Danio rerio: one gene and its partner. The protein of the gene in region 2 purifies or fractionates together with the protein of the main gene of each other region. This does not show direct contact. Links are inferred from orthologs where the notes say so. Each region holds a gene or a part of one and is shown on either strand. Other genes may lie near its edges.

Region 1 (6,857 bases), on a different chromosome or scaffold from region 2:
GTGCCAGCAAGCTGGTCTGAGTATTTCAGAAACTGCTGATCTACTGGGATTTTCACGCACAACCATCTCTAGGGTTTACAGAGAATGGTTTGAAAAAGAGAGCGGCAGTTCTGTGGGCGCAAAAACCTTGTTGATGCCAAAGGTCAGAGGAGAATGGTCAGACTGGTTCTAGCTGATAGAAAGGCAACAGTGACTCAAATAACCACTCGTTACAACCGAGGTATGCAGAAGAGCATCTCTAAATGCACAACACGTAAAACCTTGAGGCAGATGTGCTATAGCAGCAGAAGACCACACCGGGTGCCGCTCCTGTCAGCTAAGAACAGGAAACTGAGGCTACAATTCACACAGGCTCACCAAATTTGGACAATAGAAGACTGGAAAAAGGTTGCCTGGTCTGATGAGTCTCGATTTCTGCTGCAACATTCGGATGATGGGATCAGAATTTGGAGTCAACAACATGAAAGCATGGATCCATTCTGCCTTTTGTCAACGGTTAAGGCTGGTAGTGCTAGTGTAATGGTTTGGGGGACATTTTCTTGGCACAGTTTGGGCCCATTGGTACCAATACATATATAGACACACACATTGTATTGTATGCAAATCACTTTAAAAATTATATATATAAAAATATATATCTGAAATAAATATTACAAAATTAATAATACGGGAAATAAATAGAATAGGTTTTTGTTCATGTTACCCTTCACTAAATATTTTAATTGCTAGTTGATGGATGATTGTACGATGGAGGGTTGAGCAGGTAAGGTAGTCTTTATGCAGTTAAATGTCTTATGTAATTTGCCTACATAAGAAAGACGACCATTCGACATAAATCCAAAGTAATTTTGCATGTTTTGTGGAATGGTACTTGCATAAAATTATGTCAACCCATTTCAGATCATCAACAAAAAAAACATTATTTATATTGCAGCAATGTTTGGTCAACTGTATAGGAAAAAGTTAAAGCAATTTTAAAAGGAAATGAATTCTGATGCTAAATGTTGTGACACCAAAGTGAGCTCACCTGCGGTTGGCTATTCGGCTGCTGTTGCGGCCCATGCCGAGACACTTCTCCAGATGAGGAGCGAAGCGAGAGGCCGCAATGCTCCGGCTGCAGTTGGGACAAACACACTCCTTATTCTTCCACTGGTTGTACACCTGCCCAAAGATGTCCACACCAGGCTGGTCCACTATTTCTACGCCAGAGAGAGAAGTATGTCAAACTAAAGCACGTAACCCAGGTTTTAGAAAATAAATTGTCTTTTTTTTACTCACCAAAATCCTTCATACTTTCTTGGTCCGTTTCATCCAGGAAGAAATAGCCCTGTTTGACGGCCCTGTGCACCTCAAAGCACAGCCCTAAACAGGCATCTTCCACTAGGTCAGAGTACACGTCATGAGCCAAGGCCTACAAACATAAATAAATCATTGATAATACTAAATACACTTACTTTCAAAAATAAAGATACACAAGCTGTCACTGACTGTTCCCTTTAAAATGGTGGAAATTTGTACCTAAAGAGTTCATAATGACACCTTAAAATTGCTAATTAGTACCTAGATGTTCCAAAGGATTGAATTAAACTTTATTTCACAAATGTAGATTGTGTCATAGCAGCTTAACATAGAAGTTGTATTAAATTGAAACAGCTTCAGTCCAGTTTTCAGAGTTGAAGTTCAGTTTGGTTTCATTTTCACTGCTGAAAGTTCAAAGGTTGTACTACTGTAATGTGTAGGTACTAATATATGAATCTAAGGTATCAATATAAACTTTTAGGTACAAATGTTTAGCTTTAGAAATGGTTTTCCTCAGTGACAACTTCTGTGCCTGTATTTCTGAACATGTAAATGGAAAGATACGTCAAGTCATGTGGAGTTTTATTGTATTCTGCTACATGTGGAGATACAGTGAAATTAAAAGACATGTCTCACAGAACTACAGTGCAACATGAAAAATAAATAATAAAAATAATAAATATGACTACGGCTGCACAGTGGGTAACACGTTTGCCTCACAGCAAGGTCGCTGGTTCGAGGCTTGGCTGGGTCAGTTGGTCATTTCTGTGTGGAGTTTGCATGTTCTCCCTGTGTTTGCGTGGGTTTTCCCTAGACGTCCAAAAACATGCAGTATAGGTGAATTGGGTAGGCTAAATTGTCCGTAGTGTTTATGTGTGTGAATGGAAGTGTATGGGTGCTTCTCAGTGTTGGGTTGCAGCTGGAAGGGCATCCACTGTGTAAAACATATGCTGGATAAGTTGGCGATTCATTCTGCTGTTGTGACACCAGATAAATAAAGGAACTAAGCCAAAAAGAAAATGAATGAATGAATGAATGAATGAATGAATGAATATGACTCCTACACAGGATGTGCAATTTTAAAAATCACACATAGCTAACATAGTGGAGCAGTAATCAATCAAACAAAAAAAAAGTTGACTATACACATAACTGAAGACTACAAAAGCAAATAAAATACAGTATTGTGCAAGATATTCTCCAAGAAAAAGGTTTTATGATTTATTTTTTAAGTATTACAATGTGATTATTGCATTTGATTGTCTTATTCAGTGCTTGTAACAGAGTTTAATAAAGTTAAAAGTCTTATATTTGTACTGACAAAGAAAATCTTAAGTCTGTAATAAAATTTAGAGTGTACCCTGTGAATGCTAGTGGTGAACGTGTATAAAACCCCAACTTTAGCTATTTTAAACTGTTTTATTATCTGTCATCATTTACCAGTACCTCTAGCTTGGTGTTATCCAGGCCTGACAGAGACATATCCTCCATTTTCATTTGCAGCAACTATGGTAGGGGAGCTGTCATTGTTGACAACAGGAGGAGGAGGAGTGGAAAACACTGAAAAACACAAACAAAAACCCATTACATCATGGTCAAATCTGCATCGTCGTCTAAATGAAACTGCGTCGTTTAGCGCCAAAGGCGAAACATGCGTAGCTAAAATAATATGCTAATGAGCATTGTAATACACACTATACACAAACTGTAGCGCTATAAAAGGATGTACAGTAAATTATTTGTTAGAAATTAAAGGCCCTATCTAAAACGCACACCCATTTCCTAGATCATTTTATCCTTATCAGTAGATGCCTGTCAAAAGCTCGTTCAACACCCACGTTGATATATAACGTTAAGCTATAACGGGATTAGGATAAATAAACGGGCATAGCGATTATCAATTTCAACAGAGGGCAAATAAAACAAATGAAGATCTGTAATTAATAACCACCGCGTCATAAACTTAATAAAACTGTTGAACACACGTACCAACAACGTCAACATAATGTTAGTTGACAGGTACTGACTACAGCACAGCATTTACTGACTGACTGACTAAACATTTGCGTTTCCGTTCGGGCGGGTTTTAATAACATTGTTTCAAAACTGCAGTGATGTGTAGTAAAGCTACAAAGTAACCGACTGCGCGCTCATTGAAACGCATTTGTTTAATATGTGTCGACTTACCAAGACTAAACGGCCCCAGTCTTGCCTCATTCACAAACCAGCCGTTCCTCTGGTTAACGACAACAGAGAACAAACCTACTCAAAACGTGCGTATGAAGGTAACGGAAACGTTATTTAACAAACACGGTTAGGCGCCTGGCTGAATAGGTCACACGAATAAAAAATGATGTTTGGAAATAAAACAACGCTGCCATTTTGGCTCCTGTCAGACATCACTAGTGTATTGCAGAGCCAACGTGACCCATCGATTCCTTTCGCCTTGAATTCGTTCCCATGCACTCTGTTGTATAGCCTATAGGCACACGTGTAGTTCACAGATAAAAAGAGAAATCCAATAAAATAAAAAGAATGAATGAGGGAACGAAGAAAAGCTACAAATAAACAAAGAAGAGAAAACGGAATGAACAGATGAAACAAATCAACAAGACAAACAAAAAGGCACAGCAAAAACAAAGAAAAAGACAAATACAACAACACTAATCACAACAAATGATTGATGGAAAAAAATACAAAGGAAAATAAAAGCTAATAACATGATGAACAAGATCAACAAAAGAACATAAACAATAGAAGAAATGAATAATAGAACAATCAACAGACAATCTCAAACAACATACAAAACAATAAACAAAAAAACAGTTGGAAAATAATACCAAGACGACAGGCAGAATTAATGATATAAAGAACAAATAAACAACATGGACTAAACAAGGAAGCTAACGGCGAGCATGACGACCGAATATCTCAAATATGTGTATTTATATGTCAGTTAAATCAGTTAACGGTTGAAAATCTAAATTTTTAACGCAACTGATAAATGTTATTAAATAAATAAATAACCAAAAAAGGTAAAAACCCAAACAAGCACTATTGTTTTTTTTTTAACTCAACCGTTAAGTTAACCCTTTTAATGCCTGCTCTACCAAATGGTTGAACATTTCGTGAATGTTTTTAAAGTCATTTAAAGTATGACTGTTTGAAATAATGGTTACCACACAGCATTGTTGGTTTACAAAAAAAATCTTTAAAAAAAATTTTTTAAAAAAATCCTGTTGCACTACTAAACTTGATTTTGGTTTTATTGTAAAAAAAAAAAAGAAAAAATGAATTAAACGTGTTAAATGAGAATCTAAAATATTTTATGGCATACTTAAAAAAGATTATTATCCGAAAATGTGTTATTTTTTTATTGTTTTTCAGTAAATTTGTCTTGCACTTCATATTTTTCAGATTCATATTAATTCTGGTACTTTTACTATAAATCAACATATCAACCATTTGGTAAAGTTTGATATTTTAGAAGTTATGAGATGTGAAAAAATGCTTTGAGTGTGTTAATTAGTCACATAATGACTTAAGAAATGCAATCCAAATATTTTTTTCTTGATGGGGTAGCAAAAAGGGTTAAATAAATAACTCAACGTTTTTTTTTTAGTGTAGAACGAACAAGACCAAACGATCTAGAACAAATCGGTGAGTGAAAAAACAAAACCGAATCAGAAGAACTGTTTAAGAGAAGGTTTATTTGCTCAAATTGTAAATTGCAGGGATATAACATCTTTTGCTATAGAAAATGTCCAAATGTTTCAAATCTGCAGTACAAATTTAAGCTTTTTTTTCTTGCCATTTCTACAAATAAACAAACATGGGGAGGCGTAAAAACTAAAACTTACCAAATTAAAAACATGTCCCCCGATCGACAAACTAACTTGAGGCTACGGCAGTGTAGCCAACTGAAAATACAAACGCAATAATATTCACTCATTACAAAGGGAGAAAGAAAAAAAGAGAAATCTATATGTACAAATACCTTACAACAGCACTGAACCCAACCCAAATCTATTTGAAAGTCTCAAAATCCTATAAAATATCAACAAATCTTGAAAGTTCCACTGGGTTTCTTATCCCGGCCCTTCTTTCAAATCATCTAGAACCATCGGGTATTTTTATTTTCCCCCAATAATGCAGCATCACACATGATACAGGCCTCGGTCAAAGATTGCACGCCTGGTTCAGCAAATTGAGCATCTATTTTGATAGCAATCTTCCGTAAATAATAATTAGTTTGTATTCATATGCAAATCATTGAACGCAATCAGAGGAAAAAAATAAATTACAGTGGCCCAATGCGTAAAAAAAATACTGAGTAAAAGGTTTTAGCTCAGTGCAGGAAGCTGGGTTGTGGGTTTAACTTAGTTGCCATTTCCGGCCAGGGTGTTGGAACGAGAGAATATACCAGTCACCCTCAAAACTGTTCGTATATACATACACACACACACACACACACACACACACACACACACACACACACACACACACACAACAAATAATGGTACCCCTCTCTTAAATAAAACTTCTCCGTTACATTCCTTGAGCTGGTGCATGAAAGATCTGTAAAGTGGTCGACATTATGGGCTAATGAGTGAAATGCAGGAGGCATACTGAATATGTAAATAATAAATGGGCAATAGTGAACTAGGGATTCCATCATAAGTGCACTGAATTGTGGGGTAACTCACATCCATCATATTTTAAAACATATCAAATCACGTTTTAGGTTTTTGGAGCACCAAATAAACAGTGGTTGGAAAGAGGAACGAAAGTCAGCTTCAAACGACAGATAACCATTTTTAACAAACAGGAGGGAATCAAGTTTGGTGCCCCAACAAACAAACAAACAAAAAAGCTAACGAACTTCTGATAAACTAGTCCTCAATATGTAACATCAGTCTGAATGAACAGAGAACTTCAACTCAAAATCCTCTGTGGCTTCACCACATCACAAAGAAACGGCTACGGGCAGCATTCCTATAAGAGGACAAACAAAAAAAGTAGTCCATTTTCACCTTTAACCCCCTCATCGGGTGCAGGTAAGGGCACAAACGCCTTGCGAACAAGCACCGAGACCAGCGGGGTCCATGCGGTGACATTCAAAAAAATGGCTTCATTGTTCCTGAAATACCACATTTGTTTTGAACCGACAAAGCAAGGAAAACAAAAACGCCAAAGCAAAAATGGGAGCGGAACGACGCAGCTGGCAAACACAGGAGAGGTACAGACAGAGGAAAAGAAAGCAGACATTCTTCAGAGTGCAAGTATTTGGTCCCCTGTACCTCCTGAACAACAACGAAAAGATAAAATCTGCAAAACCAAGAGACTCTTTGGCTCATTCACTGAAAAGACAACAGTGCCTGCTGCTTGCTGTTCTTCTAATTTTAAACGCAGGACGTCCTGATAACACGTCAAGCCAAAAAGCAGAGCACTACAGCCTTTTGATTCTTTCCCAATGATCTGGTGTCGGTTTAGACTATTAGTTCTAAAAACCTGCCAAGCAAATTGAATGCGGGAGAAAGGAATAAAAGCAGAAGTGC
Region 2 (5,490 bases):
ATATATATATACTTAAAGAGTGTTAAATTGTTATTGTTATAATTTGATCTTAATTATTGGAGCCTCAAGAACTGGCAAAACATACTTTTACATTTTTTTCAGAAACTTGTAACATAATTTGAGTCTGAAGGAGATAATGTAATTTTTTTTTTAAATTATTAGTGTACAATGTTTTAAATATGCTATAGTTACCTAGTTTTAAAACATCAATTATTTAGTTAATTTAAATAAAAAGTGAATTGCATTGTTAATGTGATTTATGTGATGATATTGAATGTAGATGAATTTAGATTTAAATTTCCACCTGTGGATAATAAAGTATAGAAGATTTTATAATCATTTATTTAGGAACTAAAATATTACAGGCAGAAATGTATTTATTTGTCATTAAAAATAAAGCCGCAAGGCAAGTACAAATAAGAATCTGACTGTACAAATAAGGATCTTGTTGAAATATGACCTGCTAGAGATGCTTCTAAGACCCACCGAAGACTAAGTAAGGACTAAAACATATGGAAGATTATTTTTGCAGTCAACGCTTATGTTTTGCTTTTCATCAAAATGCCCTTGAAGTGGCCACTGAAGGCCCACACGGTTTCATTTAAGGATGCTGTGAGATAGATTTCTAGTTTTCTCCTTTAGATTGCACCTCTGGAAACATAGCTATGGATGAGTAGCAAAATTTTCACCCAACCAGTATTTATTTGCTTACTTACATTTTTAATTGGAAAACTGTTGTGGTACAGGTGTCTAAGAGACAATGCCTTCGCTGTGACGTCTGGGACTGTGCAGGTAAATGAATTGGCCTGCTTATTTAGCATGCAGATTTATGCATGCTGTAATTAATTTGCCATTACTGGCTTGACTGATGTCCCTGTGTGTTTTGAAGCACACATCAGGCTATAATTACTCTCCATGTTGTGCTCCCTCCATTGTTTTGGTACAAAAAAACAGATGCTAATTTTGCTATGGCAAACAAGTACAGTTATTGTCCTATTTCATAATTAGGTAAAACGATGACCGCCTGGCATTTGCTGAGGGAGCGTTCAACCATGCCTGTCATTTGTCTGTTTCGTTTAATTTCACTTAAAACGTCCATTCAAAGGTAGAATACCTATCTAGTCCCAACAGTGGTTGAGCCTATGCATTGCAATGACTGTGGAAATGCTTTCAGTCTCTTTAATGAAAGGGTTAGTTCACTCAAAAATGACAATTATGTTATTAATTAGTCACCCTCATGTCTTATCCAAACCTCTAAAACCTTTATTTGTCTTCAGAACACAAATGAAGATATTTTAGGTGAAATCAAAGAGCTTCCTCATCCTTCATAGACAACAGGGGCCCTGACTCACTTATACTTGGGAACAATACCAAAATATATCCTCAGAAACATCCTCAGACACATGCTCTGGAATATAAACTGAATTTTATCAAGCTATAAGAATACTATGTACACCAGGGGTGCTCAATCCTGTTCCTGGAGATCTACCTTCCTTCAGATTTCAGTTGCTACCCATATCCAAAACACACCTGAACCAATTAATTAGGACCTAAACACCACGTGATAATTACAGTCAGGTGTGTTTGATATGGGTAGCAACTGAAATCTGCAGGAAGGTAGATCTCCAGGAACAGGGTTGAGCACCCCTGATGTACACATATAAAACAAAAATAACAACTTTACTCAAGGGTTTCTATTCCTCAGTGTCAGTATATTGCGCATGTCCACAAGTTGAAACAAGCACAAGCGCATTTGAGGTAAAACATCTGAAGCTAAATGCGAGATATGAGACGAGACATGTCCTATATTCACACTGAGAAGAAACTGACTATTTTTGTTTTATGTGCACACAAATGTGTTGATAATATTAACGTTGAACCACTGAAGCCATATGGTTAGTTTTGAGGATGTTTTTTAACAAGTCGGGAACCTTGCTGTGTATGGAGGATGAGGGAGCTCTCCGATTTCAACTAAAATGTCTTAATTTGTGTTCCAAAGACTAGGTTCAGGGGTTTAAAATGACATGAGAGTGATTATCTAATGACATAATTTTCATTTTTTTTTAGGTGAACTAACTCTTTAAATGGCAGAACCACTAAACTTTTCGAATTCGTTTCTTTGGTCGCTGAGCGAAGGGGGATGTGCCTATAAGAGAATCCGGGGAATGGGACATGTAGCTTCCTTCTGATCCGCCGGGAGATGGAGGCATGCCAGCTTCACTCATGGTGGACATTGGGCCCTCTTCAAAGACGTCGCTACCCAGAACCCCATGACCTGAAACCTGGCCCTCCTCGCTATCCTGAGGTTCCATTTTCACCTGAGCCAAATGCCACAAGGGAGGGCTGTTCCCTGCTGCTCCTGTTGAAGAGAAAACCAAATGGCTGTGTTAATCTAGAACATAGGTGTCAAACGTAGTTCTTGGAGGGCCGCAGCTCTGCACAGTTTAGTTCCGAAACCTAAATAAACAGACCTGAACTAATTTAGTGCTTTAAGCTTGATTGATACCCATAGATAGGTGTGTTGAAGCAGGGCTCGAACTAAACTCTGCAATGCAGCAGCCCACCAGGAATTAAGTTTGACACTCCTGATCTAAATCATTACCAAAACAAAAGTATTCTTGCCTAATTCTAACCATTTTCCCTTTACCCCAAATATGTAATAAAACAACTGATGGATTAGGTGGTTGAATTCATTCATTATTCAATTTTCACTGCTGTTATATGCTTGGTGCTTAACAAATAAATGACTATTTTAATTAAGCCCTTAAAAGAGCATAGATGTGAAAAGTTCAACTTACAGTAAATTGTTCTAATTTTTTAATGCTTTAGTGCATAGACAGATAGAAGATTTTGCTTTAAAGAAGACACTTGTCAGATTGTAGCTGAAGTGAAAAAAAGTTTTTTTTAAAGGCGTTTAAAAATATAAAACGTGTTTAAAAAATAATAAAAATATATAAATCATATTATTTAAAATTTGTATTAAAAACTGTTACTGTTACTTTGAATTTGACAAAATATATTATAATATTATGATAAATTATATTCCAAATTTAAAATTTACATCTCAGAAGCTTTTCAGTAAATTTCTGTTTGGGTATACAGCAAGGTTATAATAGTTTTGGATTTTTTTCATTAGTTTAGTTTCTATTTGTTTTGACTTTTTGCTTTCAAATTAAGTTAGTTTTAATTAGTTTTAGCAGATTTACTAGTTTTTATTAGTTTCGATATTTTAAAATGGTTTAGTTTTAGTTTAGTTTTTATTAGTTTTAGTATTAGTTTTTAATTTTATTTTTAAAATAAGGATTTTTGTTAGGTGCAAGATTCAAAAATCAACTGAATATTGTATAATAAAAACTATAATAAAAAGCTATTCATTTTTTAAAACACGTATTCAGAGGACACATGAACACTATCATCTCCCAGTACCATCTAACCATCCTCAAATTCAAATACAACAGCCAACAAGATAGCGGCCTTAAGTACAACATGTGTGCAAACCTGCTTCTGAGGTTAGATACACAGTAGAGATGAAGAGTTTAAATATTTAACACGGATGTTAGGACTCAACAAACCAAAATTATGTAGACTACTGACTCTGAGTGCCAAACACCTGCAGCACGAAGTAAATAGATTCACTTCTAAAAGGCTTCAAGTAAAATTATGTATTAAATACATTAACAAAGATGAAAACGAAGATTTTTGCTATAATTTTTGTTAGCTTCAGTTAGTTTTGTATGTGCACAAAACAGTTTCAGTTCTAGTTTTTTTTAAAAACTAATTTTTATTTTAATTTTACATTTATTTAAAAAAAATTTTTTTTATTTTTTTTAACTATAATAACATTGATATACAATACAAAACATCACCAGCAGATGACATTCAGTTTTCACTGGTGCTTGCTGCAGAGCCATTTGGGTGGAGCTCACCTCCAATGAGCTCCAGCTCCTCCTTCTATAAGCTGTTTTAGGCCCCGTTTACACAACATTTTAGTTTTCGAGCGCCGAAAACTACGCTTTTTGAAAATGCCGAAGAGGCCATTTTCATTTTAAAACACTTCTTCTCCGTGTTAGTGTGGGCAGAGGCGAAACGGAGGCGGGGCTGCAGACATTCTCCTACCTGATTGAAGATTTTTCCTCAATATTAAGTAGCCTACACAAAGTTCAGTCTCACATCGCCTCCTTGTACGTTCAGCCTTCCCAAGTTTCAAAAAACCATCCTTATGAGTGCACTGAAATTCCTACATTTAAGTTGAAGTAATGAGGTATTTAATTAACTCATTATCTTTAGCACTGAGTTCAAAACTTTTTTCAAATGAGTAGAATTAGCTTTCAGTAAATTTTGGGTTAATTTCATTTCATTTGATAAAGTTGGCTGTTGGGTATTACAGTGTAAAAATTAAATCTACAGCCTGACAAAAAAAAAAAAAAAAAGAATCAAATGACTGAACATTAAATGAAATCAAAATACCAGAAACATAATAAAGAGGTGTAGAACAGCAAGCATGTGAAATTGTTCAACCAGCAGAAATAATGCATCATTTATCAGCTTAATCTTAATATCAGAGAGAACGAGAGGGATTTTGCAAAAACTCATGTAAACATGGTTGTTTACTTGCATTGCATTATTTATTTGCATATAAACAGAATCAATACAATTCACCTTTATTTCTATAGCGCTTTTACAATGTAGATTGTGTCGAAGCAATTTCACATGGAAAATTATAGTGATTTGAAGCAGTGTCAATTCTGTTATTAGAAATTGAATGGGTTATTTAATTTAAGCAGTAGGCTGGGGGTCAATTCAATTTCGGTAGGCTAGTAATCAGTATATTGGGATGTTAGCCAAAAAAGACAGCATACTGAGCCTCCCACGGTAAACTCTCTCGGAAAAGTTTCGCCTTAACTTTTTCTTTTGATACTAAGACCATTACAGTCACAATTTGTTGCCTTAAATATATATTTCAAATCAAATCACAGCTAGACTTCAAACTGCCTGCAGTGAACAATGGTTACGCAAAATTCACATGTTTACTAGACAGATAAAATGTTTGTAAACAGATAAAAGGACAACGTTTCGCTAAAGTTCTGTTGCTGATTATTTTTGGTGTGTTACTCACTCCTGAGTGTTTGTCAGAACACACAAGCAACTGCTTTAGAAAATGGATGCAGTAGAGAGAAGGAAAGGCAAACAAACAGCTGGATGCCACAGATTAGATGTTTTGCATGCAATGACTCTAATCAAACAGTTAGGATTTTTTGATTTCAGAGCAACAATCGCTCTGTGAGTCCAAACAAACAGGTTGCATTTCATTATTTTCTGAATATTTGTGGAATACATGTGAAAATAATCAATTCAGACCAGGGGTTTTCAAACTGTGGACCTCCACAGGGTCATAATTCAAATGAATTACTATGAACCGTCTTTTACAAATGAAACTAAACAGAAAATAATTTTCATATTTCACAGTAGATTCAAACTATTCTTTGGGGT

Evidence for each region. Proteins that work in one complex are often made in the same cells at the same time.
Region 1: the proteins of supt7l (region 2) and atxn7l3a purify together in Homo sapiens (affinity purification with mass spectrometry; 6 studies listed by BioGRID and IntAct, counting the BioPlex papers as one, with this or other methods). This does not show direct contact. The link is inferred for Danio rerio from reciprocal best matches to the Homo sapiens genes SUPT7L and ATXN7L3.

The regions. Positions count from the first base shown.
Region 1 is NC_133178.1:18,818,137-18,824,993, forward strand, and holds the start of atxn7l3a (ataxin-7-like protein 3), read right to left. Parts: upstream 3,707-6,857; 5' UTR 3,487-3,706; intron 2,860-3,486; 5' UTR 2,797-2,859; coding exon 2,746-2,796; intron 1,412-2,745; coding exon 1,279-1,411; intron 1,200-1,278; coding exon 1,028-1,199; intron 1-1,027. UniProt on the Homo sapiens protein: Component of the transcription regulatory histone acetylation (HAT) complex SAGA, a multiprotein complex that activates transcription by remodeling chromatin and mediating histone acetylation and deubiquitination.
Region 2 is NC_133192.1:44,167,744-44,173,233, forward strand, and holds the end of supt7l (STAGA complex 65 subunit gamma), read right to left. Parts: intron 2,360-5,490; coding exon 2,097-2,359; 3' UTR 2,067-2,096; downstream 1-2,066.